Linked DNA regions of Kluyveromyces lactis. The protein of the gene in region 2 interacts with the protein of the main gene of each other region in a pairwise test. Links are inferred from orthologs where the notes say so. Each region holds a gene or a part of one and is shown on either strand. Other genes may lie near its edges. The genes, in order: BUB2 and BFA1.

Region 1 (2,892 bases), on a different chromosome or scaffold from region 2:
TCGTGACCATAGTACTAACGTGCCAGAAGTACTTAGAATCAAAGATCAGCAGTCAGTTTATCTGGTCACGTCCCAATGGATGTGTCAACGACACGGGAAACGTGCAACCGATAAATCATGGATCAGTGCTTTCGTTGTTAAAACTTGGCCCCGAATGTGAAGACGAAGAAAGTACTAAGCAATGGTTAATTGATGAACAAGTCGAATACAGTTGGTTACAGCTAATGAAATTAAAAGGGAGTGACGAGAGAACTTCATGGATTAAAGCGTTATTATATGAACCCAAAGCAGAAGATCAAAAGAAGCTTCCAATGACCATCAGACCAAACCAGAGCAGTATGCAGCAGAATTTCAAATCAATCACATATGAAAACTTCCCACACCTGGTTAAAAAGTACGAGAAAAAGCCTAGTAAGGTTGTATGTGTATTGAATAGCGTTGATCCAATGGATTTGAAGAATGAAAAATTTGTCACTGAGATCAAGGAAGCTATGATGTATGGCACGCCAATTCAAAGTTGTGGTGAAGTGGAGTCAGTCCAAATCCCCTTACCTAACCCAGACTACCGTAATGATATGAGTCACATTCATTCTTCCATTGGGAAGGTGTTTATTAAGTTCAGGGATTTAGTTGGTGCTGAAAAGGCAATGCTGGTGTTACCTGGGTCACAGTTCTGCCAAAGAACCATTCTATGTAGTTACTATAGCGAGACGGATTATGATATGGGTATTTTATAGATGGTTAGACATTGTAATTGATTCATCCGTAAGATGATCTACCAAATTTGTATACAACGTATCAGGTAGTTTTGCTAGAAAACCAACTCCTAGGGTGATGATTTCATCTGCATTGATAGACGGTGTCTCACGTAAAAGGTTCATAGGAGAGGAAGAAACCATAATAGCCTGTCTATTTATGACTAACTGAGCCACAATGAAAAGGATATTCATATGAAATCCATAAGCGAACATGAAATCCCATAGTTTAATAACCTGATCCAGTGGTTTATTACAGGCGGACAAAGTCAATATTGAGGGAATGCCAAATATCTCTGCTGTCAATAAATTATCTGTTAGAAATTTACTCAGTTTAGGGTCAATGATCTTTAAGCATTTATCCAATAACTTGGCTGCTACATGAACGCCGGATAAAGACTGGTTCAAATAAGTGGGTATCATTTGGAAGCAAAGCGAATGGAACAGTTTATATGCAATAGGTTCGGTCGGGCAAACGTATAGAAAGGGTGCCAGCAGCACATTCATACCCTGCACATAAGGGGAAAGACCTGGAAGTTCATGTGTTTGGTTACTATCAAGAACATCCCATGCGAAACAAGATAGGACTCTAATTAGTTGCGATTCAGTGACCTTATTCCTAAATTTTTCATCTGTGGATAGCGTTCTGAAAGTATCATTTTTAATCTTAGAGATCCAATTCGATGGTGGTGCGCCTAATTGTACTAGCCGCAGGTATTCCTGAGTACATTTTTCCAGCGATGCTCGGGAGAGGATGGACCAAACGTGAGATCTTGTACGTTGATGATCTTCATCGGACAACCCTTCTGATAACACGAGGTATCGCAGTTGAGAAAGCGAAGAATGAACTATGAGCGGTGGCTGAGAGATGAATTTTTCAATCGACATTTCGATATCGTCGACAATTGCTAGAGTACTGGCCAGTAACTGGCGTTATTACCACTTATTCTAAAATATATGCACCTTTTAGACATATGGATGATATTATGCATTGGATCAGATCCATATTTCGCATAAATGGTAAACAAAGGCTAACCAAGATATGTTAATTACCCGGTGTGACAAATAATTCGATCACGTGGATCGGGATTTTGTTAAGAAGGTCGAAGCAGATGTAGCTTTCAGAATACCGTCTGAACAGAAAACTAGCCAAGACTATATTATCGGTGTTAGAGACAAAAAGATTCACATACGCATGCATATATACACATAATCATAAAATGGCACCCTGTTTTTTTCACGGTTCTGGATTAAACACCTAGACTGACTCGTTCAAATTGTACATAACTCGATATCAATTCAAAAATGGTGGAAAAAAAGTGTTTGTATGAAAATTATCAAAAAAGAAAAAGAACGCTGGTAAATAGGAACATCATTACGATATAGAGTATAGAAAATAGAGTAATTACAGCAAGTTTGAGAGTTGCAGTTTCGACCTACAGTAGAAAACTGACCATTCCATGAAATTTCCCTGGGTGCAATAATGTATTTCTCATTCGTAATGAAATAAAAAAATAAATTGAAAAAGCGAAAATTGGCAAGTATCCTACGTTCAGTACTGGGCGTTCGGCCCAAGTGCAGCCATAGATAAACTTGGCATCGTTGATAGATTAGATATAGCACACTTCTATGTGTACCGATTACCTACTCAAGAAGAATGACAACGCAAAAGGCCCGGAATCGAGCATGATTTACTCGTTTGCCAAGATTCAAAACTGACAAATCTTGGTGCTCGCTCACAAAGGGCTTCTGGCACGTTCAGTGACATGGGGCCGTTACGGATACCCTTTCCTCATCCGCTTCTCACCCTAAAGGCTCTCCTCCACCTACGGAACAAGAACGGTGGAGAAGTGATCCGCTATTAGCATTGATGAAAAAAATCCAATTCTCAATATACTGCGCCTTATCTTGTAGTTATTTAGAAAAGCTAAAAACTGAAAAACTTTCTTGGCAATGTATGGAGACTATTCGGGGCCTTGATTTTTGGGCCTGGGCCCAAAAACCTTTCTCATTCGAGCCTGTATATTTTTTTCCGATTCCATTGAACTGAATAAGAAATTATAGAAGGAAGGAAAAAATAAAATGAAGAAAAAGAATGTAAACTGGCAGGAAAGAATTGGCTGAAACTTTATCGCTC
Region 2 (3,921 bases):
TGATGCGAAGAGTACCACTTTTAAAATTGTTAAGCCCCAAAAGATGAACACATAACTCACCACAGTTTTGAATCTATAGTTCTTGAACAGCTCGAGATCAAGCACATCAAAGGTCTTAGAGTTAAGATCCAACTTTCTATCATTATCAAACATATTAGAAGAGGGAATGCACTCAGGTTATTCGACTAAACAGATCAGTCTTTGCAAGTATCTATAAATAATCTCAAAGTGAATCATATACCATAGATAAAACAAAAAGATACTGATTGGGAGCTCCAAAATTGATTCTGATATGGGATACAATGATACCACCAATATAATGTCTCTTAAGTACCAAATAGACTATTCTAAACCTCCAACTGTTGTTATTTACTTTCGTGTTTCATCTTAAAACTAATGTTGTTATATAAGGAAATGTTGATTTCCTATAAAAAGATTCTTTGACCGTGATCTATAATCGAATTCTGAACAAAAACCGATGGTTTTAAAGGGACTATATTAAGGAAATCAGTGCCGAATATGTAGTGCGATAGGCTTTGTAACATAGAATGACCTAGATGTTATGTTAGAGAGATTATTCCGTTCTATCATAAAAGATGATTTTTTATATGTATAGTTATTGTCTCTGAATAAATTAAATGCTATAGTAGGTGACACATGTCAGGACACTGATTCAGAATCAGTTACGCGCTGATGAGATAACCATATTCCTGATTTCGTACATGTATGATTTGTCATTTAAACTGGTATGTGACTGGTCTGCGGAACCAGTGTCTCTAGATTTATCACCAAGAATGAACCATCCACCTACCTTCCTGCTCCATTTATTCTCTTCATGGTAAAACTTCTCTAATTGTTTGCTTGTAATTTGGTACGTAGGATCTGTGGTTGAGTTTGTAGTCAAAGAGTGGAATCGTGTGGATTCTGAAGAGATAAATCTATTTCCATGCTCATCTCTTCCGAACGGCAGTTGAGACTGTGATCGAAGAATGTTACCAGAATGTCCTTGTGATTGGAATTTGACGTTCTTGGTAGGTGAAGATTGAGATCTTGGCATCAAGTCTGTGATACCATGAAACGGATCTTCTTCAGTACCATCAACTCGTAGCCATCTTAGGTTCTTTTCATCAAATCTCATTTTTCCCACGACCTTCCCATGCTGAGAATTTGAGGAGGCCGCATTCGTCCCTGATGCCGCTATTTGAGTAGAGGACGAAGTCTTCAACGGAGACTTTGACCTTTTGTTCTTGATGATAAACGCTTTCCGATCGACATTTTCAATGTTATCGAAACTGCTTAAAATATCCTCATTACCATCCCATCGTTTCTCCCTTGGGTTGTATTTCATCTTACCTCTTTTCAACGGCGTGTTGAGATCAATTTCTTGTCTTATTGTCTTTAAACGAGCACGAGCTCTTGTAGAATTACGTCTGTTAACAGCAGCAGCAGCAGCGGCCTGTTTTGCCGTACCCCGTTGTTGACGAGCTTCCCTATACGAATCCAACGGAGCGTCGAACGCATAATGCTTCTTATGCAGCTGTGGTGTTAATAAAGTGTCATCATGTTCGATATCATACTCTGAGGGTGATAAACGTAATGTTGGATCAAATGCTGAAAAGTTATTGTTGTTATTAGTAGCGAACTGGAAGTTATCGTCAATTCCTTCAAAATCATTACCGAAATTATCGTCATCGTCGTCTCCATTATTAGCCATTTCTGTAGCCTCAACAGCAATGTCTTGGACAACGTTACCGTCATCAGTTCTTTCACCAAACCTTGGTCCAAGATCCCTGTAACTCCTTCTAACTCTGGGCACATATGGATAGGGTTCATCATCTTCATCTTCATCGTCATCTTCGTCATCTTCGTCCTCAAGTAACACATCTTGACGGTTGAACCTCATTAACGATGGCATAGATGACTTATAACTGAGAGTTCGACCAGAACTGGGTCTAAGGTTCATATAAGACCTGCTGTTCGGTACTCGACGCGATTGCTGTGAATTCAAGCTTGTAATATTACCTTTACTACGGGTTGCCAAATCGACCATCGATCTACGCTGTCGTACCGAATCCTTCAACGATGGCCGCACTAGTCCCGCATGGTTTATATATTGATCCACATTTCTAGTACCACTACCACCACCGGTCTTAGAATTTCTCAGGTTCAATGATAGCTTCTTCTCCAGTTGTTCTTGCAAATCAGCTAGCTCGTCCTGATCCGAACTTTCCCTAAATCGTCTATCCACAGCAAGAGGTAGGTCTGTACCATTTTGGTACTCTTCAAAATCACTGTTATAGTTCATATCATCATCAAGATCGCTCGCCAGTTCCGTGTGTGATGAATACCTCTTATCCTTAGAGAATGTGGTATTTTCCGTAGTTGTGGATGTAGCTGAATTAGGTGCCAATCTCGGTACCTCTATATCATCTTTATAAGTAAATGTGCTTTCAACATCTTCAAATGATGTTTCTCCGACATCATCCAGTACAACTGGACGTATAGACATCGATAATCGAAGATTGTCCCTGGTCTTTTCCCTTGTTTATTCCTTTGTTTACATCTCGAACATACCTTTAATGCTTCCGTCATTGATGTATCTATTAACCTTAAACAAAATAATCATATTCGTGAGACGTGATACTATATTAATTGCTGTTTAAACCGCTGTTGAGACGCCAATTCTGCATTTCGAGCACTCCTATAAAACACTGAGATTCCCAGAATTCGACTAAGTTAATAATTACCTTTTAAACACTCATTTAGGCGCGTTTATCTCTGTTTGTTTTTCTTTCATGCTTCCAAAATGATTCAAAATTGCAAAGAACCGTATTATTGTAATTCTTTAAGATAAATCTCTGTTAAAGATGCATGATGCCACCAAACAGAACAAGAGCCTTTAGCTGCTATCCGTGAGCCGTTTTGAGTGTGAAGTCGGCAGCAGGGGTTTGCATATCAAATTTAAGAAGGAAACTAGGGATTTTATGAAATGTTTGAAGGATTAGACCAAACTTTTCTGAAGAATAACGATGAATGGGTGCAGAGTTATAATTCTGTTGACTGGAACGATATAACTACTATCGACAAACTGGTGGTTGGTACAGAAGCATTGGTACAGAAATACAATAATCCCAATGAACATGTGAAGAGCAATATATATAAAGTTTTTGATGAGTTATTGGGAAGGTATCCGTTATTTTTTGGTTACTGGAAACGATACGTTGCGGTGAAATATCAGCTAGATGGATTAGAAGGGTCTATTTCTACTTTAAAGGCATCTTTACATTCGTTCCCTACGTCGATAGATCTTTGGATTGATATGTTGAACGTTTATCTAACACATAATCAGAATGATAGTGAACTGATACGAAACCAGTTCAGGAAATGCGAATCCCTCGTGGGATCTCATTTCCTCTCGCACGATATTTGGGATAAGCACATTGCATATGAAACAAGACTACAGAACTGGGAAAACGTATTTGAGGTGTACAAACAAGTCATGCAGCAACCTTTGCATCAATATGCAAGATACTACACCAGCTTTAAGGAATTCTTGGAATATCACCCAGAGTTTGCTAATAGGGAATCAAGCATCCATTTGGATACCACATTTATTTCTAACCAGGAGAAGGTGAACAAAATATGGACATATGAATCACAAATAAAACAGCCATTTTTCAATATCCCTGAGCTTCCCGAGAATGAGATTCAGAATTGGGATGCTTATCTATCTTTCTTAATCAACAACACTGAGTTCAGTACAGAATTAATAAAATCGACGTTTGAGAGATGTTTGATTCCATGTTTAAGATACGAATATTTCTGGGGAGCCTATATTGACTGGACTGAAAGGACTTTTGGTCCCGAATGTACGTTCCCCTTGTTTGAAAGAGCACTCCGGGCTCTTCCTGCTGATAATAA

Evidence for each region.
Region 1: the proteins of BFA1 (region 2) and BUB2 interact in binary tests that used the Saccharomyces cerevisiae proteins (3 or more experiments, as listed by UniProt). The link is inferred for Kluyveromyces lactis from reciprocal best matches to the Saccharomyces cerevisiae genes BFA1 and BUB2.

What each region holds. Positions count from the first base shown.
Region 1 is NC_006042.1:2,446,593-2,449,484, reverse strand, and holds BUB2 (Bub2p), read right to left. Parts: upstream 1,644-2,892; coding exon 732-1,643; downstream 1-731. Other genes in the region: MUD2 (Mud2p), read left to right, coding at 1-737. UniProt on the Saccharomyces cerevisiae protein: Part of a checkpoint which monitors spindle integrity and prevents premature exit from mitosis. This cell-cycle arrest depends upon inhibition of the GTP-binding protein TEM1 by the BFA1/BUB2 complex.
Region 2 is NC_006037.1:713,935-717,855, reverse strand, and holds BFA1 (Bfa1p), read right to left. Parts: upstream 2,510-3,921; coding exon 680-2,509; downstream 1-679. Other genes in the region: pheromone-regulated K(+) transporter PRM6, read right to left, coding at 1-153; PRP39 (Prp39p), read left to right, coding at 2,990-3,921. UniProt on the Saccharomyces cerevisiae protein: Part of a checkpoint which monitors spindle integrity and prevents premature exit from mitosis. This cell-cycle arrest depends upon inhibition of the G-protein TEM1 by the BFA1/BUB2 complex.